Drosophila melanogaster: one gene and its partner. Changing the gene in region 1 together with any one later gene gives a genetic interaction. Each region holds a gene or a part of one and is shown on either strand. Other genes may lie near its edges.

Region 1 (4,355 bases):
GTCACACAAAAGTATAGACCAGATATCGATAGACGCCGATAGATTCGGTGAAGTAAAATCGTGCAATTTCTTTTCCAAAGACTTCCACTAGTTAAAAAATAGATACAAAAATGTCCGAATTGCAGGTGAACTGAATCTACGTCAAATACGCATTCGTATCTTAAAGTCTGATTACCTATTCAAACTTAACCTAAACAGGAATTCAACCAGGCGGCCGAAGATGTTAAGAACCTAAACACCACACCCGGGGACAATGACCTTTTGGAGCTCTACAGCTTGTACAAACAGGCCACTGTGGGGGATTGCAATACAGGTGGGTCTCGGACATAGTCGTCACTCCGCTGCACCATCGATAATTCTAATCCAATGCAGATAAGCCCGGCTTTCTGGACTTCAAGGGCAAGGCCAAGTGGGAGGCGTGGAACAACCGCAAGGGAATGAGCAATACCGACGCCCAGGCCGCCTACATTACCAAGGTCAAGGCACTGATCGCTGCCGTTGGCCTGAAGTCATAGACTCAATCGAAATAGGATGTTGCATTTTATAGTCTCAGTTGTCGTCAAACGCACAAACTTTGATTTACAGAAACTTCGCACAAACTAAAATTTTTCGCACAATATACACCACAAATTCGTAACGTAACGTAAGCCATGTAATTTGTCATAGAGGGAATGAATATACATTTAACTATGTAGGATACTGCTTAGGCCTCTGTGGGTGAGGCGGCGGTGCTTCCCTGGGACTGGCGCTGTCGCTCGTACACTTCGCGCTGTAGCTCGCGAAGATTTAGCTCCAGCGTCTCCACCACCTCAAAGTTCATGTCCTGGCGAGCCTGTTTGATGTAGCCCTTAATGATGTTTATCTGCTCGATCAGCGGATCGTCCAGGCTGGACTTGCTAGCCGCCTGCGGTGCTGACCAGTTGTTCAGAGATTGAAGATCAGACTGTGAAGCAAATGGAATCACAGAGGTTACATATTGATCTTTGCAGAGAGTCCTCGTCTACATACCCCTTGGGCAAAGGATCCGCTTTCCGGACCAGGAACTCCAACGTTGGATTGGTTAGCTGCCATGTTATTTCGTTCGTAGGCTTCCATGGCCATGCGCTGTTCGGTGAGGATACGCTGCTCCGTTTCCATGCGTCTACGCTCCTGCATCTGGCGTATGTGCGATTCCTCTGGCAGTGGGGGCAGCGATAACATTCGCTCCTTGATGGCTTGGATGCAGCCCAACCGAATGGCCTTCTTTAATGCCTCCTCCCGGCTGCCTGGTTCACAAAATATGGCTAGAATGCGCTTGCTCCTCATGTCCATGGCCTCTGCCACTTGTCCAATCTTGCCGCGCAAAGCACCTGCATCCGCCAACGTGAAGATTGTGTCCCCTTCGTTCAAGCTATTGATGATCTTTAGATACATGTCCAGATCCGGGGTAACTTCTTTTTGTAGTTGACGAATTTGTTCGTAGACCTGGACGAGGAGTGGGCGACAAGTGCGACTTTCGTGCATATCCTTTCGGGTGTCCAGCAGCCAAAGGCAGTGTTCGCACAGCCGGATGGCGTTCTCATGCTGATGCAGCTGCTGAAGGGGCTCGCTTCTTGTGGTGGAAAGACTGGCTAGTTGCACTGCGGGATTATAATCAAATAAGTTACATTATTTTCCTCAATTATTGGATCTACAAACTGGCATCTTCCAGGGGCAGGAACTTGGAGCAATCATTGCACATTATGCCTCCGCACAAACGGCAGTGGTGTTGTCTTCGGGCGATGTGGAAACTCTTGGCACAACTGGGACACAACTTGACGGAACTACCATCCAGCCAGGCAACTGTTTGCTGTTCATGCTGACGCCGCTGCACTGAATCCGCTGGCAGATCCTTAAGCAGGCGGTGCAAACGAATGATTAGTTTGTTTGTTTCGCTGGCATATCGCTCCAGGCGAGGATTGCGAATGGACTGAAAGTACTCGAAGTGGGAGCACTCAGCACCAGGCTGCTGCCTGGCCATATAGTTAAATACATTTAGACGGGAGCGGGCATTACTGGGTCCATTGCGATCTCCGTTGCCATTGGGATTCTTGCCAGCCGCTGAAGAGGAGGAACCTGCGGGCGACGATACAGATGCACCTTTTTCATCCTCAAAGGGGTTTAGGATCTTCTTTTTCGCCTTGGTAAAGATATCTTTAAAGGATTTTAGGGCATCCTCCTCTTCCGCATGCTGGCGGGCAAAATGATCCGTGAGCACATCGATGGACTTGAGATCCGCACGGCAAATGGGACATAGGAAGCCCTCTAGTATCTCTCCACTGGCCGAGCTTTGATCTTCGTCGCTGTCGAAAGGATTTCCAGACATTCCGGCGATGAGTAATCGTAGTTAATTCGGTGGGTGTTATTTGTTGTGGTCTCCTCCCCAAAAAAAATTGACCCTAAGGTTTTCCACTTGTTTTAAAACAGTGGCATGACGGGGCTTACGGCACTTGTAGTCCTAAACTCGATTAATACGGTCAGAGTTTCTACAAATCCATTAATTTTATTTAAAAACTAATATTTGCAGAAATCATCAAGATTTATCTACTTCACTCTTCTTCTTCCCAAATTGCAATTCGAAATAATATCCGAGAATTAGGGCTGCAGCAAAAGCAATATTTGGCTATTTTTGCTGTTTATTTGGATTTTTGAAAATTTGTTTATGGTAGTCACGGAGATTTCATACTCTTTCCCAGTTAAAACTAGCTAGGAATATATATGTTATAAGCATATTTTGATTACCAGCTTTTGCCTATCCATTTCTGGATCCGCTGCAGCCCTGGTAAAAGCTTTCCATGGCGAATGGCCAATGCGCGGAAAGAAGCAGAATATTGCCTGCCTGGAAGTTTTCTCGGGTTTAACGCTTTTAATCCGTCGTGGGTGTCAATATCCTGTGTATAAAAATAATTCCTAAGGCAACTGTGCACTTGGCACACATCTTCATATCGAGTTAGCCCAATTTAAAGCTCCAGATCGGCCGCTAATATGTCGGAAAGATCGAAAGGTGACGTGTCCGCTCGCGTAAACAACAACGCAAACCAGACGCGTGTCGTTAAAAATCCGCTTCTGAGCGCCTCCGTGACCGGCCTGAGTTTCGACGACTTCCCCAACAAGCCGCAGCTCCTGCCAGCCGCCCCGCCCGTGGTCCATGCCACGCCTCCAGCGGCGCCCGTCCTCATCGCTGGCATCTTGAATCGCGGTAAGTGGGTCACCGTACGTTCGTGAATCTAACGCGGAGTGGGGGTCACCTGTTGCTCGGCTGCTATAATGATAAGCTGATAAGCCTGGCAAGGCACTTGACCTTCTTACCCTCTTCATAAACTGGGGTTGACTTTATCACGGATCAAGTTAATATAAACTACTTTCAGTGTATAGAGGAATGGGTCAGGTCAGCACTTATTTTGGCTTAAACAAATATGTATACCTACTACTAGCTGAACAAATATATAGATATATTATAATAGTTTTCCTAAATAAGACATTAGTTAAGTCCATTTAATCGTTTGAAATCACCGACATTGTTTATACTACTTTTTTTAAGTTGCACTTCGTTTCAGTAGTTTATGCAGGGACAAACAATTGTATCCTAAATATTTGCATACATTTAGTAAAACGGTGCCATATTGTATATCTGGTACTTCTATGGCATTTTATTAGACTTCGAGACCACATAGGTTCTAACTTGGCACAATAACATAACAACAATCTACTCCATGCTCCTAGTGGAGTGGGATCTATATGTGGGCAGCTCCAGCGTTGTCTTCCTCCGTCTGCAACACCACACAATGCTCCATATGAGGGCTGCAATAAGCAGGATCAGGAGAATGACTCCAAGGCAAATGGCTGCAATGGCGGCCTCGTTCAAATACACATCTCTGACATCGATGGTGAGGCTTCTCTGGTTCCCGGCCGCATCGAAAGCGATGAGTGATACCTTTGGTTCGCAGCAAGAGGCCATGTAGGTTGCCTTCAGGGGCTCTGTGCTACCAGCAGTATAATAGTTTCTGTAGAAAAGACCCTCTGGCGGCGAGGCCTGCAAACGCATCATGCCTGACTGCCAGTCCTGAGCGGTCACATCCACAGTCCAAAAACGTTCACCACAATTCTGGGATTCGGGCGTCAGGTAATCACAGCGGCTGCCAAACTCCCAGGATAGTGTAGGTCCAGTTGAGTCCTGGAAATTATATTTAAACATTTCAATTATGCTTTCATAATCAGGTTATCGGCTGTTCACATACCTGAGCATCTATGCTAGTCACCACTTTAAGATTTACCGCCAGAGTAGATGTTTCGCGACCGTAATTGGTGAAGGTAATCCGGTCTGTGGTGCCCTGAGC
Region 2 (5,891 bases), on another chromosome or scaffold:
GTTCACTCTCTCTTTTCGCCTTATTATGTAAAGCGACGGATTTTCGCATTTTTTACACACAAATATGACTACTAATTGGCGAACTCACCTTTTTTATGGCCGCTGGCCTAACGGTTTCGATCAGGGGGCCGCCAGTTCGTGCCAAGAATGAAGCCATTTTGTTCTGAAATCGAATGAGAACGTACGTTTAACGATTTGAAAGCGAATTTTGACGTTACTGCTTACATTTCAAGATTTTTTTGCCGTCGCCTGCTGATGGAGGTGGTAGAGCTTCGATAGCAGGGACTTTTTTATGCTTTTACAATCGAAAATGCCGAAAAACTATCGTGAACTTAATGCAAGGTTGGAAACTGTAATATATTAGCAAAGATTCAAGCCAATTTGGCGGGAACTTTTAATATTGCATGCCATCTAAATTATTTTTCAACTACCGTTATTTTTATGATAATAATAAATTCGCAAATATAATAATATATTCACAAATGTCACAATATAATCTAGACCACTTTTAAATCGAAATTAGTTCGATTAGTTCCCAGTTACTTTGAACATAGCTTAGAGCAAACAAAATCATTGATTTCCCTTTTATTTTATTTTTTCATTTTTTTTTTGGATTTTACATTGCAGCTTGTTATAGGACAAAAAAAACGTGATCACCATCAATACATACAATTAACATACATTCAAGACAATAAATAAGTTTATAAATAGTAGATAGCTATCTAGAAGACTTTAAAGTAGAGCTGTAAATTACGCCAGAATTCTACACTGTGCTACAAACAAGCGCTTAGTGCGCACTTCCGGTTGGCGTGTCTGCAGCAGAGTGTAAGCATTTTATAAACTTTTTTGCAAACGGAAACAGAAAGACGAAAATCGCGCAAATGCTTCACTTGAATTTGCTTGAGCACATCAATAATAAATCAGCCGCGGCGTTGATTTTGTGCAAGCGAATTTTCCAAGTAAAGCAGTGCATTTTCATTACGGCCAAAATGCAGCATGGCTCATATGTATACGTACCACGCCCACTGCGCCCTTCTTTTTAAGGGCAAGTGGCAGGTTGTGTGATACAGGAGCATGCCGAATTTTGACCCACACAAAAGTATATAGAACAAAAAACAGTTTATAAGCATTGCAATGATTTGCATTTAAGTTCCATTTTGCAGTTTAATCTGATTTGGTAAAAACAGATTTCAAAGCAAAATGGTTTTGGGAAAAGCGGAAAAGTTTGAAGAGAAGTTTTCAGCTGCTTGCGCTTATTTTGCATTTGATTATTTTACACAGCTTTTGGGATAGCAGCAAAAAGTGTGCAGAAAATCAATGGCATTGGCAAAACAAATCACAGACAGCGAAAAATTGAGAAGTTTAAATCTAACATAGAACACAAAACACACAATAATATACAATAATGGACTAGGACAAGTGCACGAACATATAAATAAACAAAGACAGAGAACATACTACATATAAAACATATTAAAACTAAGCGAATTCCGTAAAAGCAGCGATCCATCAGCGTAAATCGTAAAATCATCAAAAAGTTCTTATTTTGTCGGTTCCGGTGCCAGCCCAGTCAAAATTTGCATATATGTATCTTGATTAAGAACCCAACTTAATACTCCAGACTCGTTTCAATAACTTGCAGTACGCGCTGCCGACCGATTTTGTTCCAGAACAGATAGGGTTCCTTGGAACCGGTGACTTGGCGTGGTGAGCTGAAAAGTGGCACAAATCGTAAACTCATATGATATGGTATATGGTATAAAGTCTTACGCCTGAAAGCAATCAAATCGCACCACGCCCCTTTCGTTGATTAGACAGGAGTGTATGTCGATGACCTTTAGGTGACAGCATTCGCTTCGGATAAACTTGTTGAATCGGTAGATTTTGTCACATAATACCTTATCGTGACAATAGTTGCCCAGCGGTGCAAGATTTGTTAGAATCGGCACCAATCGCATATTGTGCATCTCCTTGATCAGTAGCCGAAAATCGTGCTCGATCTGAACCAAAGGCTTGCCGCGCATAATGTCCACCGATCCGATATTGACGATGATCTGAGTACCCTCGGGTAATTGGACTCTTTTTAAACGATTTCGGGCGCCATTGATCGTCAGTCCGGATACACAAAGTCCTGACTGCAGGACGCGTTCGTGACGCCTAAATCGGCATTTTAGCTCCATTCGGGCGAGATATAGCATAAAATCATCGCCCATAAGCGGAAAGTCCAGCAGATAGGCATCGTAATCCGAGTTAATCGTCAGCAGAGAATCGTTGTAGGTTCCACTGGTTAAAATCGTTGGCGTGGGCGTCATTTCGTGGCGTCTCTTCATTATGTTCATGCCGTTAAATGGATGCACAAAGATGCCCAAATGGCGGTTTTCAGTCGGTTCGGTTTTCTGGCTTTGGGTTCTGCAGCTTGGCTGATGCCCAGGTGGAGCCAAATTGATTGGTTCCTCTGGGGCATCGGGGCTGTAGATGTTGATGGGTACTGGCATTTTTGGCGCATTTACGCTGGCTTGCTGGTAGAAATTGTTGCTAGGAGTTCAGTAGAAAGATTAGTACATTTTGTTAAGTAAAGGTTTATTTTTGCTATAGTTGCACTGTCTACAAAACACCTTTTCAGTACTCACAGATGCTTCCAATTATCCTGGTAGCACCAGTTCGACTCCGCTGCCTCATTGGCCATTTGATGCAGCGAAACCGGCCTGGTGGCGATATCCTTGGTCTTTTCATCCGTTATCTTGGGCACGGTCCTCGGGCTGGTGTTCAGCTGGGACAGAGCCCTCCGTTTGAAGGGATTCTTCCAGTAGCGTGGAGGTGCTCGTGGTATGTTCTCCAGGGACGGAGCTCCGCTGCTGTAGTCGCTGGTGCGCTCTTTCTGGTTGAGCACCATATCCAGGAGGTGACCGTTCTTCAGGCTCGCTTTCAGGTTGAAGATCCGCTTACCGGACTCGCTGCACTCAGCGGTCACATTGGGAATGGTCAGCAGGAAATCCGTCACGTTGTCGTGCAGTGGAAATGGATTGCCCGTCAGTTTTCGATATTCACCTGGCGAATTTCAATTATAGAATTATTTAAGGGTAATCTTACAAAAAAGAAACATAGAAAAAATATAAATTAAAATAAATATACTAAACTATAAAAGTTATATAATCCAAATAAAATTTAATAACCTACTAAAAATTTATACATTTTAGATTTCTAACTAAATATAGCCACTTAGAGAAAGTTCTGAAGTGTTTGATGAAGTCGAAACTTCTGGAAAGAAGAAAGCTTTCAAACATAAAGCTACTCACTCTTGATGCTCGATATCGTGATTCCATTCTGGGCGTGGCTCAGCAATATGGCGCGCACCTCACTATCTATATCGGGATATTCCTCGCGCACGGATATATAGTTGCTCTCGATGATGGTCATGTTGTTCTCGCTGGTGTTGCTGTTGCTGTTGTAGGTGATTTCCTTGGTGGAAATCTGAGTGGACGAGAAGAGTCTGGCTACGACTTGCAACTGCTGGCTGCTCTGCCGGCTGGTGAGTTCATGGGCCACCAATGGCACCTTCCACAACTCCGGCAATTCGGTTTTTCGCGCCGATTTGAAGATCTTCCGAAAGCGTTCGCCGCATGCGGAGAAATCGGACCTTACGAAGATCTGGTTGAGGCAGCTGGAGGAACTCTTGCGAAAGGAACCGGATGACTGGAGTTTATCGCGCAACTGCTGGAAACACGTGGTCACCCGCTTTTTCACGGACTTAAGATAATAGGTTTTGGCGGAAGTATTGGTGCTGGTATAACTGATCGGTTTGCTGGGGAATTCACTTGTGACTGCGGCCATCGCTTGGAGGAAAGTGATCCAATATTCTTGGATCCCTCGCCAACGCGGTCCACTTCTCCATTCATCTGCATTTTGGAGACTTACGGTGCTTTTCGTACTGGAAGGCGAAAGAGCAGGCGCAACAGAAGTAACGGTGAGCAGTTTGCAGAGATAATGTTTCCAGATCAACAGAATTTGTGAAAATACATTAGGGTGGTACAACCAAAAAATTTTGAAAAAATAAAAAACTGTTTTCAGAACCTAATATAGAACCTATATATATATATATATATTCATTTTCTTTAATTTTTTTATCAATTTGTTCCCATTCGCCCACCATTAGGTTAACATTCAAAGCAGTCTACGTAGCCAGTAAAAACAATTAAACGAAATTACCACCTGCATTGCCATTTGACGACCATTACACAAAGCAGTTTGCACTCCGTTCCAGCTGGACATTCGTTTTAATGGCCTTTCTCTTGGTCCAGATTAGAAAACAGCACGCCAGTGGGTCTGCAGAGCTGCTTGATAAGCAATTACGAAGTAGCATATACATAAATTCCAGAATAACTCAAATGGTGCCGACGAGCGTTACCACGTGCGGTGGTGCTCTGGTGGTCTGTCGGCTAATCGGCAAATGGAGCTGCTTGGCAGCAATTCCCCAGGAGATGATTATCCATCCATACAGCAAGTGCACCTGAAACTCCGAGAAGGGTAATGGAGGCACTTGCTCTGAGGGTTAGTCCAGCGATTGATGGATGACTCAGGGGCTTTCTTACATCTCGTGATGATTCCGGCACCCCGGAAGAAGCACAGACAATCGGAAGGAGGATTATGGCTTCTTAGCTTAAGCAAGTTGGATACAGTCAAACATCAGTAATGCGTACCAGCAAGAAATTACAAAAATTAAATCAGTAAAAATTTTACTTAACTAGCAGATCAGAATAATAAAAAAATAATTTTCAATAAGGTGTTGATGGGTTCAAAGGGTAATATATATAGAATGGGCAATAGTTAGTGCCACTACAACCTATCTGTAATTTAGGGAAGTACTTCCTTATAGATGTTGGACTGTATATTTTCCCTAGCCTTGCCTTAATTGCAGAGGATGCTGCAGAGACGTGACGAGCAATACAATACTATATGTATGTAGAAAAACTGGGCGAGAACATGTGGTCCAATTTATAAATCTCGACCCTTCTCCCATTTTTATTTGCTGAATGTGTAAGCCCAATAATTTAGAGTGGGATGAATCAGCCGGCTTTTCTTGCCATTCAATTTTCCCTTTTCGGGTGGTGTTTCAAATATTTTGAATGCACTCGCACAGCACAGGGCAATTGTCCGGTAATAATAGTAATTTGCATTCCAGGCCCTCTCTCATTCTCTCTACTCCCAGCTAAGAATTACAGTGGTCACTCGATTGTAAGGTAAGGAATTATACATATATTTATGGTATTTGGCAACCTTCCTTGTATTTCTATAAGCGTAATTGTAGGAAGTAACCACTGAAAAATAAATTTGTTTAATATTTTTAAAGACATTTTCCTACTCTCTTCCTTTCTAACAACTACTACCATGATTGACGACCATTTTTGATTGACAACTTTTGCATTTGCGTGTGGTGGGTGTGCATTGGAAATCGCAAAAAGCAATTTACCGCCTAGATTTGTGAACGACACTTTTCATTGGGTTCGACTGCATTTCTGCATAAATTATGGAAGCCGACGGAGCAACTTGTTGTTATTCTGTCTGCTGTCTTAGAATTTTTACCAGCAGCGAATTCATTTCGCAGAGGGCGGCTAAATGTTGGGGGATAGGCAAATTATTGTAATCAATTTATGCGAACAATTTAGCTATTGCCTCACTTTGGTGGGGCGGAGAGACACCTGTTAATCTGCTGACAGGCGGAAAATCTCAGGAATGCTGATTGCGTTGCACACGATTAACCAGAAGTTCACCCCAATGGCAACTGAATCTGATCGCCTTTCGGCGGCAGCTCCATCACTAATTTCCAGTAATTATCCTTATCCGTTTCCAGAGTCTGGCTTAACATCTGTTATTATTACTCCGCAGCAAATCGA

The links.
Region 2: of Rbsn-5 (region 1) and osk, changing one enhances a phenotype caused by changing the other (phenotypic enhancement), as found in Drosophila melanogaster (one study listed by BioGRID).

The regions. Positions count from the first base shown.
Region 1 is NT_033779.5:8,158,081-8,162,435, reverse strand, and holds Rbsn-5 (Rabenosyn-5), read right to left. Parts: upstream 2,605-4,355; 5' UTR 2,345-2,604; coding exon 1,678-2,344; intron 1,620-1,677; coding exon 1,009-1,619; intron 944-1,008; coding exon 704-943; 3' UTR 636-703; downstream 1-635. Other genes in the region: Acbp1 (Acyl-CoA binding protein 1), read left to right, coding at 111-125, 199-313, 373-515; CG43394 (uncharacterized protein), read right to left, coding at 3,725-4,192, 4,257-4,355; PAPLA1 (phosphatidic acid phospholipase A1), read left to right, coding at 3,004-3,217.
Region 2 is NT_033777.3:8,933,086-8,938,976, reverse strand, and holds osk (oskar), read right to left. Parts: upstream 3,852-5,891; 5' UTR 3,832-3,851; coding exon 3,297-3,831; intron 3,262-3,296; exon of another isoform or gene 3,178-3,261; intron 3,049-3,177; coding exon 2,631-3,048; intron 2,536-2,630; coding exon 1,771-2,535; intron 1,713-1,770; coding exon 1,610-1,712; 3' UTR 582-1,609; downstream 1-581. Other genes in the region: ScsbetaA (Succinyl-coenzyme A synthetase beta subunit, ADP-forming), read right to left, coding at 89-157. UniProt on the Drosophila melanogaster protein: Organizes the germ plasm and directs localization of the posterior determinant nanos. Oskar protein is required to keep nanos (nos) RNA and staufen protein at the posterior pole.